2 linked regions of the Styela clava genome follow. The protein of the gene in region 2 binds, or shares a complex with, the protein of the main gene of each other region. Links are inferred from orthologs where the notes say so. Each region holds a gene or a part of one and is shown on either strand. Other genes may lie near its edges. The genes, in order: glutamyl-tRNA(Gln) amidotransferase subunit C, mitochondrial-like; glutamyl-tRNA(Gln) amidotransferase subunit B, mitochondrial-like.

The links.
Region 1: glutamyl-tRNA(Gln) amidotransferase subunit B, mitochondrial-like (region 2) and glutamyl-tRNA(Gln) amidotransferase subunit C, mitochondrial-like share a complex: the UniProt entries of both Drosophila melanogaster proteins name them as parts of the heterotrimeric GatCAB amidotransferase (AdT) complex. The link is inferred for Styela clava from reciprocal best matches to the Drosophila melanogaster genes GatB and GatC.

Annotation. Positions count from the first base shown.
Region 1 is NC_135258.1:13,069,577-13,082,518, reverse strand, and holds glutamyl-tRNA(Gln) amidotransferase subunit C, mitochondrial-like, read left to right. Parts: upstream 1-6,940; 5' UTR 6,941-7,807; coding exon 7,808-8,326; 3' UTR 8,327-9,147; intron 9,148-9,445; 3' UTR 9,446-9,597; intron 9,598-9,911; exon of another isoform or gene 9,912-9,975; 3' UTR 9,976-11,127; downstream 11,128-12,942. Other genes in the region: thioredoxin reductase 1, cytoplasmic-like, read right to left, coding at 183-243, 1,150-1,248. UniProt on the Drosophila melanogaster protein: Allows the formation of correctly charged Gln-tRNA(Gln) through the transamidation of misacylated Glu-tRNA(Gln) in the mitochondria. The reaction takes place in the presence of glutamine and ATP through an activated gamma-phospho-Glu-tRNA(Gln).
Region 2 is NC_135262.1:19,543,481-19,556,150, forward strand, and holds the start of glutamyl-tRNA(Gln) amidotransferase subunit B, mitochondrial-like, read left to right. Parts: upstream 1-7,583; 5' UTR 7,584-7,677; exon of another isoform or gene 7,678-7,792; 5' UTR 7,793-7,824; coding exon 7,825-8,073; exon of another isoform or gene 8,074-8,101; intron 8,102-8,296; coding exon 8,297-8,410; intron 8,411-9,555; coding exon 9,556-9,760; intron 9,761-10,837; coding exon 10,838-10,960; intron 10,961-11,365; coding exon 11,366-11,479; intron 11,480-11,611; coding exon 11,612-11,696; intron 11,697-11,933; coding exon 11,934-12,053; intron 12,054-12,315; coding exon 12,316-12,433; intron 12,434-12,670. Other genes in the region: CD320 antigen-like, read right to left, coding at 184-268, 908-983; kxDL motif-containing protein 1-like, read left to right, coding at 6,764-7,201. UniProt on the Drosophila melanogaster protein: Allows the formation of correctly charged Gln-tRNA(Gln) through the transamidation of misacylated Glu-tRNA(Gln) in the mitochondria. The reaction takes place in the presence of glutamine and ATP through an activated gamma-phospho-Glu-tRNA(Gln).

The sequences.
Region 1 (12,942 bases), on a different chromosome or scaffold from region 2:
ATTTTCAAGGTAATTTTTTTAAATAGGCCTACTATTGATGATAAACTTTATTTTAATTGCTGTCAAATGGTTCGTTCGAGAGCGAACAAGAGTGAAAATTCTTATGGTGTATCAGTCAAAATTTTGTCAGTCATTTTTTAATTGACAGTAAATCCTGCAGATGGAGTATAATAGGCATTTACCTTCAAGATCCAGTTCTAAAGCATGAAAACTAATTCCCAACGAATTGAATAATTTCTTTATCTAAAGGTATAAATAATAATTTAAAATAAATAAAATATACAAAATCAATATGGATAAAAAGAATTCAAAAAATTGGTTTTATATTATTGTAAAAAACGAGACAAGATTTGATCTCTAACAAAATTATTTTCAATTTTGTAGTACAAAAATAAACATTATTAATCAATAACCATAACCTACGATAATGAAATTTATATTCGAGATGTATTAAAAACACAAATATCGTTAGTAAAACTATAAGCATTTAACAGTAATAAAGCTGATTCTCTTCAGTGCTTTCCAGACTAGTAGCTATGATATGTAAAGATTTAAAAAAAAAAGAGAAATACATAGCTCATACACATCTTAAAAACGTTCCAAGATAGACCGATACCGTAATACTCAATCGGGTCTCATGTAGTTTCGTACCTAACATACTTCTAGTGAGCGAAGCGTAACAATTTTTTGATATATCAATCCTAACCCCCATCTGACTACGCCATCCAAAAATTAAAACACTGCGACATCACAATCACGTTATAGAGCTTGCCAAATATACGCACGATCGACCGAAGTGGCATTGGCGCCGACGATAAGGAACTGACTGACGATACCGATCTCTCTCCCATTGGAATCGTTGCGACGAGAAAACGAGAGAAATAACTGTTTGATTTCGGGTGCTCGTTTGCACGTCTTGGATGGCAGTTCGTATAGTTTGAAGGGCTCTATTACGTCACTGTGACGTCGTAATGACGTAATTTTTGGAAGGTGTAGTCAGGTGGGGGTTAGGATGGATACGTGAAAAAATTGTCATGCTACGCCCACTAAAAGTATGTTAGGTACGAAACTACATGAGACCCACTCAATCTTTATTAGCAATGCTTTTGAAAAAATAGCTTATTACAGTATTAAAATACACAAACTGACCTCTTTACAATAAGGACAGTACGATTTGCTAAATAGCATAACCACATTCTCTTTAATTAGCTTTTGAACTCTTTCCTGCACATCTGGTATAGGAGCCATGTTCTCTGGCTCAACTTTAGTGACTTTGGCAGCCGGTTCTTTTTGTTCAGAATCCAGATTCAGAGATTAGAATTGAAATTAACAATAATTACAGAATACTGAATAGGGTACGACTGAAAAGTGAATGAAAAAGATGAACATACAGACATAAGTACGGAAAGTGATATGAAAACAATATGATATTTGGGCACAGGTAAATACTCTTAACAATCTGACAATGCAATCACAGAATGGCTCTAGTTTATATGCTGTATATGTGAAGCATATTTGATTGTCTAATTAGCTGGACTACCGGCACAGAACTACTGAACTAGTACCTGGATATCCAACTCTATAATAATAATAATATATAATAATAAGTTTATTTCGACTCCATAATCAGCATAACAATAAAATGATTGGTAAAAAAAAATAAATAAAAACTGATTATGAAATCAGGAGAGCAAACAAAACCTTAGAAAAGGTTCAAAACGTACAGAATGTATAAAAGATGGAAGGTTTTGCCAAGAAGAAGTGGTACGTGTTCACTCACCTAAAATAATGGAAATAATTCGCACACGCTCACACAACCATACAGAAGTTATAAATTACATACGGGTAGTTAAAAAAAAATGAATGAATAAAAATTACTTGCCACACCATATTAATAAATTTATAACGTTTGCCACTGCCGAATTGATAGATTTTATCTACTCTCTCTACTTACTGACATTAAACACAGAAACAACAGCAATGCTTACTAGACTTATTGCAGTATTGGGACTACCAGACTACCGCAATCTTGATGTCCTGAAGTCTGCCAGTACGGTAGTGATTAAATGAGCACGCCTGTACAAAATAGCAAAACGTGATACTAAATGACGACGCTACATGCAGACATACCGGTAGAAAGTTAACCAGATTACGAACAAACGAACAAACACTCTTGAATATAAAGTTAAGCTCGAAGCTTAAATCCATAGAGAAGTGCACACAGACAGTGACTAAGCAAACAAACCAACTCCCAGACCGAATACTTGACTGACACTTGATGATACATGACTGAATACTTGACGATACATCACGTTGGCGCGTAAATATGGAGAAATAGAAATTACCAATCGCCAGAAACATTCTCTGCAGGAATCAAGTCAGCATTTCTTTTGTGATTATTATCCTCACGTAGGGTGGTTTTTCGCGCCAGCCGCCCAGACAGTTTAGGATAGGGATAGATGTTCCCAATTCTTATTTTTCCTAATCTTTGCCATTTAAAGTTTATTTGCGAAGATTATCATAGGCCGCGAGACGAGGCCGTTCATCTTTCAGTTTCGTAGCGCACATAAGGGAACTACCTGAAAATGATTTCAAAATGCTCAAAATAAATTTAGTAACAAATAATACTTTGTTCCCATTTCCAAAAGTTGCACGTTTTACGAAAAAGACGCTTTCACTACAAGAAATATGTGTTACCATAACATAATATCCTACTATTCTCTGATTTTCTGGTAACAGTGGTCGTCAATGAAGGCAGACTTCTGCAACACGTAACAATTAAAATTTGATCAGCTGTAGGTAGATTCCCGTGGTCGGGTGAATCTCGTATGTACTGCTCGCTTTCACGTTGAGTTGAGTAGCCTTTCCATCGTCTTTTTCAGTTATTATTAGTTAAGTCATTCTAAGAAGGTGTTAAAAATATGAGTAAGCTATTAAACACTTGTAAATTCTTACCATGAATAGAAGGTTAGACCTAGAAAGATATGTCACAAACAACGATATTTTCATTCATGTATGGGAAGTTTATAATTAATTTAATGACGATTCTTGACTATTCAGCAAACTTATACTACTATATAGAACACAGCATACTTGATACATTTAGGCCGTTTGTGTGAAAGAGGGAAAGTAACCAATTTTACTGATGTCAGTTGGTCCAAATAGAGTCGACAAGAACAAGGGCAGCAATGAAAGGTTATTTAGGAGTTGAAAGAAATGTAGCCTTGGAAGCGATTGAGAGGTGAGAAATCAAGTTGTAGACCGACAGTTAATGTTTTAAAATATAGAGGGCATTTAAGACTGTGTGATTTATAGAGATTCAGTGTAGATGTAGTCTAGTTATGTATTAGAAATATTAGTCAGTATGTAGTGGTGTTTTCATTTATCGTACACTCATGTTGTTCCTATATGATTTTCTCCCTCCTTTTAGATACTGTACTACAGTAGAAATTAATGTTATGGTAATGTTCCACCTAACGCAGATTACCATTGCTGTTGCATTTTTTTCTCGGATATCTTTTAGTGTCGAAGGTACTGTTTCTATAAATAATGTTGCCTTTGTTTCAAATACACAACCACATAATTTGAAAAAAGACCAATTGTAATAATTCTGTTACCTATGTTATGTACATACTGTTTTTATTTAATTTCTTGACTTTTCCGTGTAAATTTCTCAGTGCGGAATACCCGATTTATTAGTGTTTTTGTGCTCACAATGTTGATTTGTAAAAAACTTGCATTGCATAAAATTGATGCATTTTGATACTGTTAACAAGCGTCAGTGGTTAAATGTTCAAGAAGCATTTCGTCGTAACTCCAATAGGGTTCAAATATATTAAATTCAATTTTTTACTTCTATATCAAAATTTATTGGTAAAAAGTATTACAGAATTGAAAGTGAGAACTTGTGGCTGCTTGTTATTTACAAGAATCGAGATCCGTGGGGTCAAGTCACTAATATTGATCCTCATTTCTACACTATCGTCCAAATGCATGTTTCTTACTAATTCAAGCACTAATCTAGCAGGTGCTCTTTCGTTTATTTCAGTTTATCCAACAGCATATGAAAGGAGCAGCAATTTTAATGAAATGTACTTATTTAATATAATTAGCACTTTATCTGAGTATCCCTGGGGTCTACCTGGAACACGTTGGGAAGCCCTGCTCCAGAAGTATCTATCAATTTTATTCTGTAGTGTGAATGAAATCTTCAAGCATGTGTAAAGTTTATTAACCATGAAACTTATTTGAATCAGAAGTCCATGACCGTGGCCAAAAATGTCTGAGTTGATCGATTTATATCTGAATTTAAGAAACATAAATAAAATGTTAAGTGTTAATTAACTTTTGAACCAATAAAAATGAAAAACAAAATATGGTAAAAGTATGAAACAAATTTTCTAACACAGTGTAAATTTTAAATACAAATGCATTCTGGCCGTTGACACCAAGTCTGTCCAATGCCAATATTACTAAGAAATGTATAGCAGCATGTTGCCTGTTTGCTGGTAAAGGTTTCAACAGTAAAACACATAATAATATTGGCACAGAGAGACTCGGAAACCATCTGAGGAATCCACCAATAATAAATACACTTATTTCGAAATTTAGTTTTAGGTTGGATGATTGTTTGTTTTTTATTTTTTTTCGTGGAGTGGATTTCATTGATTGGCATTGGATCATTAAATTTGGATGCATGATTTTGTAAAGTATTTGAAGTTGACAGTTCTTTCTCACTCGTCAAATTACTTGAGTTCGATTTGATTCTCCTGAGCTGGCTCAGAGCTTGGTCTAAGTAATTCTCTCATTCGCTCTTCTGATTTCAATAAAGTTTCCTTTTCTTCTCCGTATTTCCGCTTTTGTGCGCTGCCGTTTATCATCCATTTTTGGTCTTTAAATATTGTGCTAAATTCTGAAATTATCGGGTTGGATTTATTGTGGTCGAGATTCCGTCTCTCTCTGGTCAGGAGTAATGCTACCGATCCCTGGTTCGTCTCTGATTTATTCTTTTCGAACTTTACTCTTGCCCAGTGTGGCATATACCTCCATCCTTAAGATCTTCTATTTTGTAAATAACCCGGACAATATCACAATAAAGATTCAGAACCTTCTGTCTATGGATAAACTGTTTCAGAATCGGAGTTTGTTCAGAAATCTTAGATGCTATTCAAAAACTAATCTGCAAAAACAGACCACTGGCGGGACTGCAAATCAAGTCATGTTGACAAGGCGCAACGTACGATGATTTGAATGGAATATTCCGCTATGAAAAAAGGGTTTATGTGTAAAGTTGGTTTTGGGCAATTTTTGACTTAACTAGATTTATTTTTCTTAACTAGATTTTCTTTATTCGATTTGATAATGTTTTTGTTGATTGAAACGATTCAAGTTTATTATTATTTTATTCACCAAAATCTGTATGGTTCACATTTTTGCTGAAAAGCCATATTCTATCAAAGACTCTACTATCACCCTTGAGTGAAACGTACTATATATGCACCACACATTTACCTTTCATACTTTGCCCATTCATATTATATGGTCTCACCACTCAAAGGTATAAGTTTATTTCGACTCCATATTCAGCAATAGACGATAATGATAGATAAAAACAAGAATAAAAGTAACTGATTATAGAATCGGGAAAGCGAACAAAACCTCGAGTAAGGTTCGAAACGTAGAGATTTTAGATGGAAAGGTATTGATAAAAGAAGTAGTACGTGTTCGCTCAGGTGCTGTATTTACGTCTAAATTTTGATTTCATCGTTATGCATATGTGTATTTGGTGTTGTCTCTATTCATATATGTTGTCTTGTCTTATAAACTCCTCTGTATAAACAGTTTTGTATATTCCTCCCTTACCACTTTCACCACACCAACCCATCACCCCACTTTGCACAACTGTCTATATAAGTGACCATATTATACATATTTAATCTAATGTTTTTTGTTTTATATTTGTCAAAAGGAGTGCATGCCGCACATTTGTGTTTTAGGCCAGTAGGTCTTGTGCATGCATCCCGTCCTAAATAATAATAATTGTCAATTTATTTATTTGTCACTATGGACCTCTCCCCGAGCATCTAATTCCTCGTTTACTTCGTGACATTGGACAATCAGCAAGATGCAGAAAGTGACGTAACAGTGCTCCCTTTTCGCATCCGCTCAGACAATTTTCTCACTCAGACAGATTTTCAAGCGTGGTCGTAAACATTATCTCGTTTTTGAACTCTATTCGTTAGTTTTCTGTTGTGTTTCGGAAACTTAAATATAAATCGAATAATTCAATGATCACTCTGTCTTCCTAGGAGTTTTAATTTAATTGCAGTAATAAAAAATTTGTGTAGAAATAGCTGTGATAGTCTAGGCTAAAATTCTTTACCGGTACTTTTGAAAAAATAGATTGTTGTATGCGATAAATTATAATAATGTTTTGAAACACATACTCCATTTTACTGGGCCAACTTGCAAAAACACTCTTAAAATAGCCCCGAAATATTTGCAATGGTAAAGTATAAAAATAATTTTTCGGGGGCCAAAGGTCGGGAAAGGTCCATAAGAGACGAATAAAAATACATCCATCCATACATATGCGGCGCCCGAGAGCTGCATGATAGCCATTTTTCACATGAACCCTTTCCATTCCCATTTGTTTGTCTTTTATTATTTCGAACTCGAGAGCAAATCCTCAGACCGTGAATCAGTGGTGAAGTTTAGGTTGTGCACGTTTAATCAGAGGATGTGAGTAAAAGGAAAAGGGTGCTAGTTTCCCAGCTTTAGCTATGGTAAATATCCCAAATCTGTTGTGTCTGCTTAGACAACATGTTAATTAAGCTTAGATAAGTACTGAAGTACCGGGGGTCTCATGTAGTTTCGTACCTAACATACGGTACTTCTAATGGGCGTAACATGACTTTTTTTTCACGTACCGGTATCAATCCTAACCCCCACCTGACTACACCATCCAAAAATTACGCCATTACGTCACAGTGACGTAATAGAACCCTTCAAACTATACGAACTGCCATCCAAGACGCGCAAACGAGCACTCGAAATCGAACAGTTATTTCTCTCGTTTTCTCAACGTCAGTCAGTTCTTTAACGTCGGCGCAAATGCCATTTCGGTCAATCGTGCGTATATTTGGCCAAAGTGACTAGGATAAGATAGGATTTACATATTTATCCCGGGGGAGAGGAAAGCCGATAAGACCGCTTATCCATATGGCGAACCACGGCCTCTCGTCCGGTTACCATTCCAAGTCGGGTATGGGATTAGTTATATTGTTTGTTTTCGGAAGCATGGACTTGATGGTGGAGGAAGCCGTAATCGACCAGCGGTTACGTAAACCACCCAACGACGGCGAGGAGTCCGGCAATCCTCTCGCACATAACCATCCCTGCATGGGATTCGAACCTGTGAACCCACGCAGAGTAATTAGAGGTGCGGTGGCGAGCGTAATCCTAACGCTTAGCCCGTTGAGCCACATCGCCGTGCCAAGTGACTATAAAGTCACTTTGGTGTGGGCTGGGGTACGGTAACTGTGAATTGTGTTTCCAGGATAATCGTTTTCAGTTTAATATTAAATTCTATAGTCTTGGGAGAAATAGAATGCCCAGATAAATATGTGTCTGCACATATCACTTAATTGCATTTCAATGTGATTATCAGTGTCAAATGTCAATGTATTGTGATTTTTTGTACAATATCGTGTGGAGTTGCCTTTTTAGTAAGTTATCTAAATTCAGAATTTCATTGCCACTATGTTCAGATGTAACTTCCATAGTGCTCATCAGGTAGTGTACTTTTATGTTTTTACCAGAGTTGCAGATAGAACCTGAAATGCTTACAAAAAAATCTCTTAGTGCACTAAAAAGGATCTATTCCAACACAAAAATTTGTACTTCGAAAAGAAATGTTTTAAAAAAAGCTTCTGATTTAATCCCTAAGGAACCTGTTTGGAAACATATTGAAGAAGTTGATCTTCCACCACCTACAAAAATTTCATTATCAAAAGCAAGACATTTGGAACAACTATCATTGGTAAATTTTGAGGACACAAATGCTGTGAAAAGACTGGAGAGTGCGATACGTTTCGCAGACCAGATATTGCATGTTGACACTGATGGAGTTGAGCCTTTGGTATCTGTTTTGGAAAATGTGCCTCTCCCAATGAGAGATGATGAACCTCAGGAAACAAAAGGAGATGTATTAAAATTACCGCAAGAAGTATTTGAGGGCTATTATATTGCTCCAGTTGGAAATAAAGTTTATGAGGGCGAAACCTTTTTTGACATTGATAATGAAAAAGATGACAAATTAAGCTGATATTGTTACAATTACTGGTACTAAGTCTCTTCTTTTAACATGAATCATTTATTGTCAAGTAGGATGCAGATTGATTTGAAATCCTATGTCAGCTTCTGAGGTTGGACGAGCTGAATAGAAAAATAAGTTTGAACACTTCGATTGAAACAAATAAATCGAGTACTTTAGTAGCGAATATTAGTATAAACAAATTGCACATATGTCAGCATTTCTAGAAAACGAATACCCCAAGTTAAAGAATGCTGAAAATCTGAATGCGTTACAAGAGTCAGTGTCAGAGTCAATGTCAGTACAGGAATTTATTTATTCATCAATGGTGTCATAAATTTTATTCTTAATCGTTAAAATAATTCACAAGCTAAATGAATATGTCAATGTCAACCTCTGACCATCCTCACTGGTGACTAAGATCAGCTCGAATTTTCAATAAAGTGCCATGTCTTCTCTTTTCTCCATTAAAATAATTCTCTCATCATTAAAATTTACATTTATTTATAGTTTAGGTTACAAATTTACAATAGGGTATAAACTCAAAACTTTATATAGCATGCTGCAAGATTTTCTTCTTTTTGCTGGGCTCACAATATCAAGTGCTTTGATTGTTGTCGTATTTATTTTCATATTGTGGGTGATTGTTTACAAACTTTTCCTGAAGAGGTTTAAATTTATTCAAGCAATAACTGATGGAAAACAGGAGGAGACAGCTAATAAAGCTTCCGAAGAGAAACTAAATTATAGAGCAAGACTAAGAGCTCGTCGATCAACGAAAGAGACTTGACCAGGTGTTTACGCAGTATTTTATTTCTCCACAGCTTGTTGGGGTTGGTGTTTAATAGCAAATTTGAGATTATTAGATTGGACTATTGAGGCTCTAAGAAGGGTTTCTCTTAGAGTAGCGTTTCTCCTACACAACCTGTTGCCTACTTTTCTCCTGACTATCTGGAGACCAATTCCGCTTTTGACCTGCTGGATAACATTTTTTTTATTACATTACCATCGTTCATAATTTTTATGATGTAAATTTGGTATACCCTTATTGATATACCCAAACTTTTTGAGCACTAAACCTGAAAATCACCAATCATTTATATTTACTTTAATTCAACACCACTTTTTTAGGACATTATATACAAGAAATTACATGTTGGAAACATTCCACCCAAGATGCTGTCGATCTTCTTCAACAATTTGGAACACCAGTGGAACATACTTGCAATGAAAATTTTGTTTTAAAATGTTTAATAGGTCACGAAAATCTTTGATGAATTCAGGTACCATTTTAGCGAGTATTACGATTTTTCCCTAGTAAAAATAATATAAAAGAAGGTAATTTTGTAACATTGCATATGCCGATTCCCAACAAGCTATTTTGGAATTCATTCAGCAAGTCTTTAAGCTTTGGTTCACTGATTGATCAGCTCGTGACTTGGGTGATTTGAGTTTTATTGTCTAATAATTTCACTCGAAACTTTAACCTATTTGTAATATGTGATGCTATGCCACAAACATGGAAGTTTACAATGGCCATTCCATTAAAACATATTCTAAACTTATGTCATCTAATGTTGAAAACATTTTTATGCAGGTTCCAGAAATTATTAAACGATATGCTACTCAATGTTAATACCACATTGTTTAATATTTTTCAGTAAAGAAATCACACATTGGACACCTGCCATTCACAGAAATCACATTGTCTTTGTTGATATTGAATATTTTTATTAGTGCTTGCTAAAAAGTTTCAAATTTACCTACTTGAGATTAGCTTTTCAAATATGTTAGAGTTGTTACTTGGTCTTAGAACTGTTTATGATATTTTTAAAGATTTTATTGTGACATAATATGAGCACTTTTCAGCTGCAATTTATAGGATCTTTGTTTTATTCATGCTCTATTCAATATTTGCAATACTTAATTGCTCTTTATTTCATGGTTGAAATGCATGTATCGAATCTGCACCATATATTTGCTAGATACTCGTTTTTTAAATTGCCAATTGTGGGATATATCTGAAATGATTAGCCAATACATTTTCATATTATTTTCAAGTATTATTTCTTTGAAATACTTTGTAATGAGCTCCTAAAAAAATTATACCATTTCAAATGAAGTCGAGATTGATGTTAGCATTTTTAAAAGACTCTATACATATCATAGATTGTTTTTTTCATGCATGCCACTTGGTATAGACACTGCCTGATTGACATTTTTATATACTTTTCCATACATACACTCCAAATTGTTGGTGATCGCAATTTAATTGAAAATTTCTTTATGTACCTCAAAAAGGCTATGAAACTTATTGTATATTCAGTTCTGGATTGTTATTTCCAATTTAGGTTGTTTTGTTCATTTGCTCGCTCTATGTAGGTATAATTTCTCTAGGTCTAGATATTTAAAAACATTTCAATTAGTAATGAACCATCCACTTACCATGCTGAAGTATATAATAAAATTGTCTTCACTACAGCTTTTCACATGCCCATTTGAAGGAAAACACTTATTAATCACTTCTCAGTAAGATGACCTTGAACCTAATATTCTAATTAAATATTTACCTTAACACTTGTACTGTTTTAAGTAAAGAAATGTATATAGCATTACTGGTGCAATGAACTGTCTGTCTCCTGCTATTCAAGAAGTCATCCATGATTGTATATATTTTCAAATTCGTCATTTATCTCAAGTATTCATATTTTGACAATATATTTATAAGACTGTGCGTGGACTGTTGTCGGTTATATATATATTCGTTATTTTTACCATTGTCGACCCAAATATATATTGTACTCATTCCCTTATTGTTTGTAACATGTTGTTATCTCCAGTGAAAGCTTTTTGTGATGCGATCTCACCTTTATGCAGTGGATGTGAAAGTTGATCGACTTCGACTGTTAGGAGCAGTGTTGCGATCCCGGGGTTATTTTGAATATAATTAAAGCGTACTCCTAGCGCTTATCGTGATGCACAAATGTATCATGATGCACAAATGTCATTTTGCAACTTTAGCTGAGAGATCGCGAAAATCAGTTATTTATACCACGATATTATTATTTGAGCATGGTGTTTTGGCATGCGGTTCCAAATTACCACACACATTCCACCACTGGTCAAATGCGATTGTAATTTAACTGTGGGTCGATATGGATTAATTCCGTCGTCGTGCAATGCCACTAATAAAATTGTTGGTAGTTGTTAGGAAACAATTTATTATCCAAGAATAATCATTCCGCTATGTTATACTGTAATTTTTTTTAGATCCGAGAGGTCGTGGGCCGGTGTTGATCAGCAGATTGTCTGGTGGAAAATATGAAAATTCATATTTAGTAGATGATGTCCGCAGCCTTGATATACAAACTTTTAGACAAAAGAAAATGTGGGGTCGATGCCGTCGGGGATTTAGCGAGAGTTCGTGGCGTCCTTGAGTCTCTTGTCAAAGGAGTTATAACTTGTCCAATTGAGACTGCTACCTGTAACTGCAAATTTTTTGTGGGGATGTACGTCATTTAGTGACAAATAACGTCCTCTCCTCCCGCTCACCAGGTTATGTGTAGGATTACCTAATCAGTTTTGTTCTAGATAAGTGCTCTTCAACAGGGGTTCCGCGGAATCCTTGGGTTCCGCAGCACATACAGTGGAGTTCCGTGAGTTTATAGGGCTCTTTAGGGGTTCTGGATAAAGGAAAAATTGATGACTGCTGGGCCAGTAAAGTTGCAAAAAATGATTATGCTTCTTTTCCGTTTTTGGATGAATTTCTAAGCGCGCAATAGCAAGAAGGACTCCTAGATATCCGTAATGATATTAATTTGGAGGAAACCTTCGAAAAACACGGAAGGGGGTAATATTTCTGGATTTCTTTCCACAAAGGGGGTACAGCAATTGCAAAAGAAGCATTAAAACTTTTGTGTCAATTTCCCAATACCTATTTGTGTAAATCAGCATTTTCTGCTTTAACAACTATTAAAAACAGAAAAGAAGTTGTTTAAGAGTGTAGACATGAGTATGAGAGTTGCTTTGTGCGCCGTGGGGCCATGATTCAAAATGATTGCAAAGGAAATGCAAGAACAACCTAGTCATTGAATTTCACGCTTGTTACCTTCGCATACAAATTCGCGTCAGCTCATTGAGTAGATATCCTATTGGAAACAATTGGTGTAAATTATAAACAAACTATGTACCAGTTTGGCCCTTGTTGATGATAGACAGCTACACCAATTGAGCGACTAACACTATTATTTTTTACGAGCGAATAAACTTAGACTTAGTCTAAAAGCAGTTGGTATTTATTAATTCACTTTCTCAAGCCATTACGATTAAAATCGACAAATTTTTTAATTTTAAAAAATATATATAACAAGAGTCCATTTCAATGTTAAAATTTTATAAAAAATTCAGTGGTTCTTGTATTTACGCAAGTTTGGGTAAAGTTGTGTACGTTAAGATCTGGCAACACTGAAAAGCCTGAAACAAAGCCACTTCGGTTTATTTACAAAAGAAAACTCTTTTGTGTCTGAGTACCGCCAGTTTACTTTGTTCACGTACGAAACGAATGAAAAGCTTAGGAGTGTTTCTTTATATCCTGGAACATTGTTTGTTCTCGTTCTGACGAGCACATT
Region 2 (12,670 bases):
TTATGCAGCGTATGTACTTAACCATCCTTCAATTACATGAAATATCTTTTAAAGAGTTATTTTTTGTATTTTTGACCAGCCTGCACCTCCACGTAGAAATCGTATTTTACTCAGCGAGAATTTTTTTAATTTGAGGGCCATTACGTGGTGACGTTGAAAAAATAGTAATTTAAGAAAACTTACACGCAATCCACCTGACCGTCACAAAATTGATTGAATGAAATGCACCCAGATTTGTCAGGGCAAGAAAATTCTCCTTTAATGCACTCTGAAGAAATAAAATAAAAATGTATTTGAGAACAATATTGAAGCAACTCAAATTAGATGAAATTATTTAAAGAGATGTCATATTGAAATGTAGCTTCGTTTGTATTTCAATTGTGTATTTTTATACCCCATTGCTAATAGTTTTAGGATGTTTAAATGTAGATACATATATGATTAATCGTATACATCCATACTATTAGTCGAAATTTAATACGTTTCACAGAATATAGATAAAAGTGCATTCAATATGTTATTTTGTTCACTTCAAACTTCGGTTTAAGAAATGAGTTCATAATAAAAATAGATGATTGCGATATATTATCAAGTCGAAAGTAAAATGCATCGAAAATTCAAGTAAAAACTGTTCTAATACTTGAAAATAATGTTGCCTGTGGTCGGAATAATGAACGTTGCTAGATACGTTATGAATTCAAGCAAAATTGCTAAAATAATAAAATACAGATGCTTGAGGCGTAAGAAACATATATCAATAGTAATTTAATGTCGGATTAGAATGTAATCAAGCAGGAATGTGTGAACCGAACGTGTTAATTGTTTGTTATACTTGCCGTATGGAAATTTCATCGAATATAAATAAAAAAAAATTGAAGCTCAAAATAATATGAATACAGCTACACACCTGCTTTAACAAAAGCCGAAACGTTTATTATTATTACGATAATGAAAGTTATAGAAGAATTCGCTTTTATCTTCATTCTATTTTCTGTAATCAAAATCTACTATATGATAAAAACTAAAATTATTTGATAAAATAAAAACGCAGATTCGAATGTTTACTTGTTTGCCCCAAAATTACAAAAACCTGACAATTAAGACAAATAGGAATATAGTTAATATCGCATATAAACTTATAATGATATTTTGTAATTGGAACTAAATATCTATTACTCATTTTTACAATATCTTCTCTTGCTAATCTTTTGCTGCTTCATAATGTGTATAGTTTACACAAATTACATTACTGAAAGCCTGATATCACCACATAAATTTTCCGATTACAACTGCACTCCTGATTATATCATCAACAAAACTTTGGTACGATCGAAATTTTATAAAATTAAACAATTCAAGACAGTATTTATACCTCGTACACTGAAGTAAGAACTTTTTTTTTTCATTAAACTGCTCATCAAAATATATTGCAAAGCATTTCTTCTTATTTCGGATTATTGTTGGTTGAAAAATTTATAATAAAAAAACTTCTAAATTTAAAGATATTCATATCCCATATGTGCTGAGTACAATGTATATTATTATAAAACATCAAAGGACCAATTTGAGGTAATAACGAAAAAGAAAGTACATTTATTGAACTTAATGGCCAATTTTTCACGGGTCATAACTTCCAGCCTTTTTGTGCTTGAAACATCCTTATAGGGATACAGTGAATTGACACAAAAACAAATAATTCCATACAACAGGTTCCTTTTATGAGTTGTTTTTCTACAGACATTATATATCTTAATGAGATTTTAGACTTGAAAAAGCTGATGTAGATGTTAGGTTGAAAAACAAAATTACAGAAGCATTAACGGTATTTTCTAATCCTTTATTTCTGAGTTGATTATGGTGGAAAACAAAAATATTTACGAAACTACTGTGTCTAGTAAAGACAGCCAGGTAGTGCGCATTAGGGTTCATCTATCTAGAGCCAAAACCAACCCAGTTCAAAAATACAATCATGAATATCCATACAGAAATCCAGCCTAAAAAGGTCAGCAACATTTATACTTTCAATTTCAAACATTTGGGTAACAGTTTGTCACATTGCAAAACGATATGAATAATCTCAATTATATAACATGCCAAACAGGATAAATACTGAAATGATTATACTTAATTGAGAGAAATTTATGGTTGGCCAATTTTTAATCAAAAATAGATATCACGGAGCAGCACAATAACTTTGTAATAAAAATACCGTAACCTTTCTTTAGTTCATAAGCAGAATCTACAAAATTTCGGTTCATAGTTTATAGTGTAGAGTTAAAAACAAATGCTTTGACTAGTTATAAACCCTACTTTGTATAGATGAGAAGTAGCGGTTAATTAATCAAATAAAAAAAATCGGTAGGACCGATGCTTGCAAATTTATATGAACAAAGTTTTCTGAATTCAATAAATGGCGCTCCGGAAGTATCCGTACCAAGATGACGCACAACCTGAAGCCTAACCTGGTACACATGCTATGTTCAGACTGTGCGCCATCTTGATACACATGCTTCGGGAGCACCCAATATATATGCAATATACATGAGAGGCGGATCTGAATTTGCAGATAAATAATATTAAACTACACTCGACTCTGACCAAACTAATAATATCATAAAATGCGTTTTAATCTACACTTACCAGAAAATAGAACATGTATTGCAAAATCCACAGGCTCTTCACGATTATGTTACCAATCTAAATTCTGTTGCAGCAAACAGACACGCCGTTGGTTGCGATGCTCAAAGTCAGAGTCACTCATGACCATTCCACAGCCTAAACTGCTAAATGAATTTACGTTAGTATATTTGTTGAATTCCGGTACCAAGAGCGTTAAAAATGGACATTGAATTTGGGACGTTGTGATGAAAATGTGTTTATGAGTGATACCGAATATAATTGACACACAAGTTATCAAGAATGACGCTATACTGTGAGCACTTGCCGATATGTGAGCAATCAAGGTTTTCCTGGGGCAGTATCTTAACACCTTCAAATCGAAACAATTTGGAGGCAAATTCAAACACTTTTGTTCAGTGATATTTGATACTTTCTTTTTAATTTAGTAGTAATTAGATCAGTCAAAGGATCGTCGGTTCGAATGTGGAAGCCATGTTGGGGTTTAGTAATATTCAAATGTGCGGTGTAAAACATGCCGAAACCCATCTCTCCACATTAACAAAAATAACAAGAGAGCAATGCTCAAATATATGCACACAAAGATGAAAACGAAGTGGTTTCAAATCTTTTACAGTACCGGTAGTCTGGCCCCGAGATAACTGAGATATGATCACGGAACCACGACACCCTATTTTCAACTTTGATCACAAAAAACTTTGAAGTGAAAAATGAGTCCCATAGATTCCACGGATATTTTGGAAATAAATAAAAGTAATTGCCTTTTATCGAAAACAACAAGGTTTAACCACTGAACATTTCAAAGCAATTGATTGAGCAGTTAGACCGCTTCAAGAAAAAGGGGAATACAAACAACAAAACGACCCATAGTTCCATTTTGTGTTCAAAAACTGAATATTGTCATCAGAGAAATTTATCTGGCAGAGATAATATGACAAAGAGAAAGTTGCATCCCTAGTCGCTGTACAAAGGAACATAAAACAAAATGGCCTTTTTAATAGGGCCAGTATTTTATCAATTCTATTGTATGATTGTAGATGGACTTGATAGTGGAGAAATCTGTAACCGACCAACGAGCTTCGAACCTGCGAACCCACGCAGAGTAGTCAGAAGTGCGGTGCCGGTGGTGAGCGTATTCCTAACGCTTAGCACGATGAGCCACACCGCCGCGCCATACTTGTTATTAATGCCGGGTTTACCATAAAGCAAGGCAGGAGGAAGTATAGGGGCCTCCACATTCAACTTCGAGCCGTTATTCATTTTCAAATTTTTTCTTTAAAAATTTTTAATTTTTAAAGATTTGCTCAAGAATTTTACCGGATCAAAAAATCGACATTTTTATTCATTTATGTAATCGGATTATTAAATCTCGTCGCAAATAATTTCCGTTTACGAGGTTAAAAATTAAATAATGTCGAATATTTTATTTTTTTTAATTCAAAAGACTTCACCCTTTCAACTTAACAAAATACAATTTATATTAATTGAACAATTTTTGAATCTCTTAAAAGAGAGAGAGAGATTTTATTTTTTCGTCAACTAAAAAAAAACTAGCTTTGAGCTATGCTCAAATAGATGGACAGGTCACAGCAGATACCACAGTCTTCAACTATATTGACACCAAGCGAAGCAGTACTGCAGTAGTTTACCTTACTTTTAGCATTGTCGGTATGTTAGTCGTTGGTACCGGTAACCTCAAAAACTTTCGAGATTCGAGTAGCGAGAATTTTTGGAATCGGTCGTCACGTTTGGTGGATTAAAATCCGTGTTCCCATGATCAAAAAGTGATACAGCAAAATGGATGAAATATTAGATCTCATAGGATTCATAAAAATTTAGGACTAAATAAAAGTAATAGCCTTCTGGCAAAAAAAAACAATCTTTATACACTGAAAATTTCGAAGCAATTGGTCCAGTATTCCAAGAGAAAAGCGATTTCATCACAACGAGGAAGAAGAATATCAACAAAAGCAACAACATAATATTAAAACGATCTATAAGTCCACTGGCGTGTCCAATAATAACGAGGTTTGGCGTCAGATTTCCGTTTGGTGTTTCGGCTTTTTTTTGTGTCTAATCTAGTGTTCATTGGTAAAACCATATGTATAACCATATATTACTTTATTTAATGTGCAACAATAGCCTATCGCTTACTTCTACTTCTTGGCAAATGTTAATCTTAACCCCCAACTAACGACTAACATACCGAACTGACTACGCCCCCCAAAATTTACGTCGCAATACGAGACAAGCATAGTAGTAAATAACAAAAAAATGTAAACAAATATAATGGTAAGAATTATTGTTACAGTGAATGTACAATGAAAAGATGAAGTTCGACAGTCTAATGTTTCAGTATTTTCATTATCATAAAATAAGAATACAAGAGAGCTATGCTCAAATATATGGACACGTATAGTGCCATATAGTGACAAATTCTGAAGGCGTCATAGCACATAAAAACGATAAACAAAAGTAATGGACCTTTCCCCGATCTTTGACCCCCGAAAAGTTCTTCCATTCTTTACCATTACAAAATTTTCGGGGCTATTTCAAAAGTGCTTCTGCGAGTTGGCGGCTTGGCGCCTGTGAAATGGGTTATTCGTAAAATGAGGATTCATCGCATACAACAATCTGTTTCTAGGTTACGAACGCACTTTACGAACATATACAGATATAAAAAATAATACTGTATTGTAATATCTAAGCCTATAAACAGGATCATTGTGATCAAGAAAATCAGTGCTCTGGGCTCATTGGTTTTCGTTATTTACATCGTAAATGACGTGTCCAACTATTACGATTATGAAAGAATAATCACTAAGCTTCAGTCACATGGTACTGTACTGTACACAGTTTCAGTGATACTGTACGTCATTTTAATTGTTTAAGCCGGTTTTTTAGTAACTTGTTTGATCGTTTTTTTTTTACTTTTGCCCTTTGTTATGGACTCAAAGCAAAAAAAGATGTTACTGATGTTAGTGCATCAAGGTTTGCTTTTATTCACGTGATGTGGAATTGTTTTCTGTTTTTCTGATAAAGTTCTTATTTGCATTATTTGTACATTTTATTAGTGTACAGTACCATACTTTACAATACAGTACGATGTGTATAGAGCAATTCATGCACTGTAGGCTACTAGGGTACAGTATAACGCTCAGTATAATTTCTATACTAATTTTTTATTACTGCAATTAAATTAAAACGGATCTTACTACTTACTGAATACAGCGCGAAACACTGCAAAGAGCGCGAAACAGCGCAAAGCAGAGGAAAACAGCGCGAAACAGAAGGAAACCAGCGCAAAACAGAGGGAATCAGTGCTAAACAGGAGACGCAGTCATTACCACCTCCTGCCACGAAAGAACCACGGCGCCTCTCGCCATGGTTTTATGGCACTATTTCCGGTATATTTACAAGGTTATGTACCGGATTATAGGTCATCATGCGAAATTTTATCTAACTTTTTGGTGCTCCAGAAGTATGTGCAGCAATATGTCGCACAACCTGAATCCGCTACACACACACACACACATCTATTTTCAGGTTGTGCGCCATCTCTGATCTGGTGATAGATCAGTAGATATGACATTTGAATTAGACTATATAGTAATTATGGTCTTTCTGTGATGGTATTTCTGTATTTGCAGAATTGAATAAATTAAGATTATAGTTTATGCTATAGCCTACGATATGGATAACAAAGAAGCTGTCATGAACTCTTCAACACTAGATCAAAAGCTGCAAAATCTTATAAACAATGAGGATGTTGATGCAATTATAAAAGCTCAACAAACAACCTTGAGGAGACTTGAAAAATCTAATGCAATGCTAACAAACTGCAATACTCTTTCTTCACAACAACTTCTATTGATATGATATATCAGGTCAAAGGATAGATCTACGACTGTCAGAATGTAGAACAATTTGGCCTAAACACAACTTACAATATTAAAGTACTGTATAACAGGACTGGGAAAATAAAAGTAGTCTCTGATCTGGTGATAGATCAGTAGATATGACATTTGAATTAGACTATATAGTAATTATGGTCTTTCTGTGATGGTATTTCTGTATTTGCAGAATTGAATAAATTAAGATTATAGTTTATGCTATAGCCTACGATATGGATAACAAAGAAGCTGTCATGAACTCTTCAACACTAGATCAAAAGCTGCAAAATCTTATAAACAATGAGGATGTTGATGCAATTATAAAAGCTCAACAAACAACCTTGAGGAGACTTGAAAAATCTAATGCAATGCTAACAAACTGCAATACTCTTTCTTCACAACAACTTCTATTGGCAAGTGAAAAGTTCACTCGTCACACTGCGACATTGCAAGAAATGCGTAAAGATTTGCAGTCGATATTTACAAGAATAAGAACTCTTCGGGCAAAATTAAAGACACAGTACCCCGGTGAATTTTCTTTGGCTCTTGAAAATAATATGAAGAATGTTTCATTTCAAGAAAGTGGGGTTACCCCTGTAAAAGAAGAAAAACAAAACGAACTATATGAATCATCAATAAAAAGTCATTTTAGCCAGAAGCCTGACTTGTAATTTAATAATAAGTATTTTCATCTCTGTTTCATGGTTATAATTAAAGAACAACCTTTTGCTGAAGAGCTCTCCTTATCCATGGAAGCTAGCAAAACTAGGTTTGATTGGTTCTTGGCAAATGTAATATGATTATTTATAAATAGATATATGTTTTATTTACTATATACAATTATTTTGATGCTACTCCATTACTCATATTCATTCTGGGATACCATCTAGTATTTTCAAGAGGTGAAGAATTTCAAAATAGGAGAAGGAGGAATGTATCAAAAATTTGGGATATGGAGGAAGTTTTATAGAGCAGAAAGTTGTATTTAACAGCAGTTCATGATACACTCTGGTGGCAAAGAGTCCTCTGGAACATGTTATGTTCCAGAGGGGGGCATGGGGTTTAAACCCCAAACTTACTATCTATTTTGGTGTCTCTGATATCGGATTATGTTTTCATTGCATGTCACTTTGCTGCAAAAAACAAGGTTAGAACACTGCTTGGAACTTGGCGCAGCTGATAGTCTATTTGTTCTGCTATATCTATTGCTTTATGATCCAATATTATTACTGTGTGCAATAGTATTATATTTTATTTTTCAGGGCCTATATTTATATCTAATCCTTAGCTCAAAATGGGCATTGGTGGAAAATATAGATTGCTTCAAAAACCTATTTGGCATCATCTTAACAAGACATTTGTCACCCAAATAAAAAAGAAGCCATCACAACTTCACAATGTTTGGGAATCAGTAATTGGACTTGAAATTCATGCACAAATCAACACAAGATCTAAATTATTCTCAAGTGCAAGGAATCGTTTCATGGAGCCGCCAAATTTTCTTGTTTCAGATTTTGATGCTGCACTTCCTGGTACATTCCCAGTAAGAGTTTTATTATTTATCAAAAAAGGTGAAAATAACTGACTGATGCTATTGATTGCATTTTCTTTTCATAAAAACAATAACTAATTCCATATGCATTTTGTGATTGATAAGCTTACTGCAATGATATGCCTATGCTGATATTTAAGTTTACTCATTGCTTTTAATAATAACTCATCGTAATATTTTATAACACTCTTTTGTTAATTCTTATCGCCTGCAGGTTCTCAACAAGAATTGCGTAGAAGCTGCTGTTTTTACATCTCTTGCTTTGAATTGTAAAATCAACATGAAATCATATTTTGATCGAAAGCATTATTTTTATGCTGATTTACCGGTTGGTATATTTAATGAATACTTGTGGGTTTAGAAGCAAAGCATTGTAGCCTATTTTCATAATCAGTAGCTGAATTTTGACAGCAGTCTTTATTAACAGTTCTTTTAAATTTGATGCAAGAATCTGGAGTATTATCTTTATTTTGAGAGTATTTTGCGAGATGACATGTGCAAACTGCTTGTATCTTAGCTTAGTCTCACCCGTTTTCCAAACTGTTTTGATCACTTAATCTATCCTGATTCTCTGTGTATATTGTTATATAACAACTACATTGAATATTATACTATTGGAAACATTCCACTCTGAGTGATTTAAATTTTCTGCTTGCTTTTCAACTATATTGATATAATATGGATGGGGCAAGAGACTTATTTGAACTGTTGGCTAGCCATTTTAATTTCAGTATATATATTGGCCCCCCTTTTTTTTTGATTCTGTACGCATTGATTCAACTCTAAATTTTGTTTTTTTCTCTTGGGAATCTATCATTTACGTTTCGAAAATCGAAATTTATTCAAACCCAAGGTACTCTATACCTTTTTTAGTGTCAGAGCCAAATTTCAAACCTTATTAAAGTTGTAAAAACAACGCAAATTGAAACAGCTGCAAAACTAATTTCAAGTATGTGTTCTAAAATAACAACATCAACAAAACTCGTGACAACATCACCTAAACTTGATGTAAAAACCTATTTCAATTTGAAAATACTTCTTTTCCAATGTACGGAATAGCCTGCTTGGGATTACTGGAAACAAAGAAATCCGTGTACTGAAACACTATGACATCACAATAAAAAGTTGCACTCAAAATGACATCAATTCAACAACCTCACTCCAGTCTTTCATTTTCAAATAAATCACGGAAATTGAATAATTTTTGAAGAATACTTGAGAACCGCAGTTGAGAACAACTGATTTAAACGATTTGTTGATCTCAGATTCTCAAATTTAATTGTACGCAGGTAAAAAATGAACTGTCTGAACCCGTCACAAAAATACTTGGTGGGTCTCCTTGTGACCCATGTGGATCAGTGGTTTGTCATTCCTGTACTATGGCCTTATAATTGTGCCTCAGACAGGAATATTAGCATTTAGATGTTGGACAATAAATTATCACTTCTAAAGTTTGATTCATGTTTTGTTCAGCAAGGTTATCAAATAACACAGCAAAGAAAACCCATTGCAGTTGATGGTCATTTTCCAATACCAATTGAAGAAAGGCATCCAGAGGAAGGCTACATAATACGATGGAAAAATATTGGGATTGATCAAATACAACTTGAACAGGACAGTGGAAAGAGTCTACATGATGATGTTGAGAATAGCAGCCTCATTGATTTGAACAGAGCAGGTATGTGGATATGAATAGTCAACCTGATGTTCACTAGCTTATTGAACCATTGTTACCTAATCCAGTGGTCGGCAACCACCGGGCCGCGGCCCATCGCCGGTCCGCGGAAAGATTACTACCGGTCCGCAGAAAGATTACATAAAAACGGACAGCGTCCCCAAAACACCTCTACAGTCTAACAACAACGAATCCCTGCGATTAAAATTTCGAATGATAATAAGTTGAAAAGCGTATTTGCAATATGTATCTTGGTAGTCTTTTGGTTGATACTCTTAGATAAATACTCATACATTGCAAGAGAAGCTTCACAGACAGTGTTATCATTTTATGTGGGTCGCGTTTTCGATATTTACAATTACAACTACAAAAACGAAATACCGAAATCGGGTGGGCGTAAGAAACACGTTACGTGTATCACTGTCGACCATATCTCCAAATTGGGAACAGTTAATGGACGAACAAATACAGATCTCGCATTAATAACCTCACCGGTACACCTGTTTTTGGAGATAATTCCAACATAAATTTTCTAACGCGCATAATTTACTACATAAGCTTAGCTAGTTTGTATAAAGGTGGTCCGCCAAAATTTTGGTTAGGCTTTACCGGTCCGTCACCTAAAAAAGTTTGCCGACCACTGACCTAATCCATCTTAATCAATGTCTTATCTAGAACTTATCTATCTTTGAATCGCAGCTTTTGGTATGTTATTGAATATGGTATAGAATTCATCATGCCTCGTCAAATAAAACACACTAAAAAACAAATGAAAAGAAGAGATCATACCGCCAGAGAACACGCTGGTCGATATTCAAAAACAAGCTCTCGAAACACGAAAATCATTGCACGTTGTGTCGTTGCCGAAACTCAATAGGCATAACTCCTGTTACCAGATCTTTTCAGATGCAAATTGTCTGGATTCGATATTCTTAATTGCCTGCCTCATTTTAAGCCAATAAGCTTATATAAAAAGTTATATATATATAAGTTATATAAATTACCTCAACAATTGATTCAGTATAACTGACCTTTTTATTGATAGCTATTTTTATTGCATCTTTACATTTTTAAGAACAGGTGTTGGGTTGATGGAAATCGTTACTTCTCCAGATTTCTCCTCTTCTGAGGAAGCTGCTACATTTGTAACTGATCTTCAATTGACAATGATGCGACTCGGCACTTGTTGTGGGAAAGTAGACGGTAAATGAAAGTATATTTAATTTGGTATAATACATGAACATAAGCAATGTGCATTTTAGAGTTTATGACCCAAGATTTGCATTTTTATGGATTGCTATCTTTATCTTCATTTTTATTTGCTTTACCCACATTTACATCTAGATAATTATTTGTTTGGCATGGTAAAATATTTTTGCCTTAAAAAAAAGTCTGCATATTATTACCGATGGCGCTCAAATTTTATGTTATATTTATCACTATGTGTATTGTATGTTACAATGTCTCTATCGCAAAATATTACAAACATGCCCCATTTAAAAAAGGCATGAAAATGCTTTGTTGTTTCTTAAAATAAATTGTATCAATTCTGTTATTTGGTCTATATGCAAAAAATATTGTTTTATTTATGCATTTGCTGACTTTCAGAGGGCCAACTACGTGTGGATGCAAATATTTCAATTCGACGTCCAGGGGAACCACTTGGTGTTAGATCAGAAGTTAAAAATATTGCAGGAATCCGCGGACTTCAACAAGCAATTGGTATGTCTCAATTAAATAGTATTTTCATTTGAATGCAGAAAGGTAATTTATAATAATTTTGGGTAACATAAGGCACTTCTGCAAAGTTTCATTTTATTTTTGTGTACTGTGTTTATTTACAAATCTTTTCAGAATTTGAAATATCAAGACAAAGAATATTACTCGAAAGTGGGCAGAGAGTTGTCAACGAAACAAGAGATTTCAACGCAGAGAAAGGGTGTGTTAAGATATTATTTATAGCTAGCCAGTCTTTCTGCCATTTTTATAGATTTTGTATAAATTGTCTTGAGCCTTTTGATAATTTTTTATGCAAGTGCAACTCTTGTAAATACAATAAAGTCAATTGTCCTGTAACTCTATTGACAATATTTTGAAACAGTATTACTACAGGATTTTAATGCCTCATACTGGATGCTAGAACAGCTTAGTGAGAACGAATTTTTCTTTTTATCAGAATAACAATTTCCATGAGAGACAAAGGAGAATTTCAAGATTATAGATTCATGCCTGAACCAAATTTACCGCCCCTCATTTTGTATAGTGATGAAACATTGCCACCTTCATTCGATTCCAGGTATGCCAATGTTAATTTCTGTGTATTGATGACTGTTGCTATAAGCATTTTCAGGTACAATATTGCTGTGATTGTTTTTTTTTTGTAAATGGTTTGAACTAATTATTCTTTGAGTCAAATAGGGGTTTCGTTTCAGATAGCCACAGGCCACACTTGAAAGAATAACACATTTCAGTATTTATATATAATTCTTTGCTCCCTGTCTTTCATAATGGAGTCATTGAACTTGTTTGAAAAAATTGACATAAAAAATATTTTTCAGTTGTGACATAAATATTGATGACATCAGAAGACGACTTCCTCATCCTATGCCTGTAGATATCAGAAGACAGCTTGTTGAAAAATATGATTTATCACTGTCAGACTCTACATTTCTTATGGTTAGTGGATTGGATTTACATATTTATACCGGGCAGAGTAAAGTCAATAAGACAACTTAATCCCCTCGACTGGTTACCAGTCCATGTTGGGTATGGGATCAGTTATTTGTTTTCAGATGCATAGACTTGATGGTGGAGGAAGCCATAAGCGGTGACGACGGCGAGTCCAGCAATCCTCTCGCACATAATTGGATAATTAGCATAATTAACATAAACTGGATAATTAGATTAAATCAT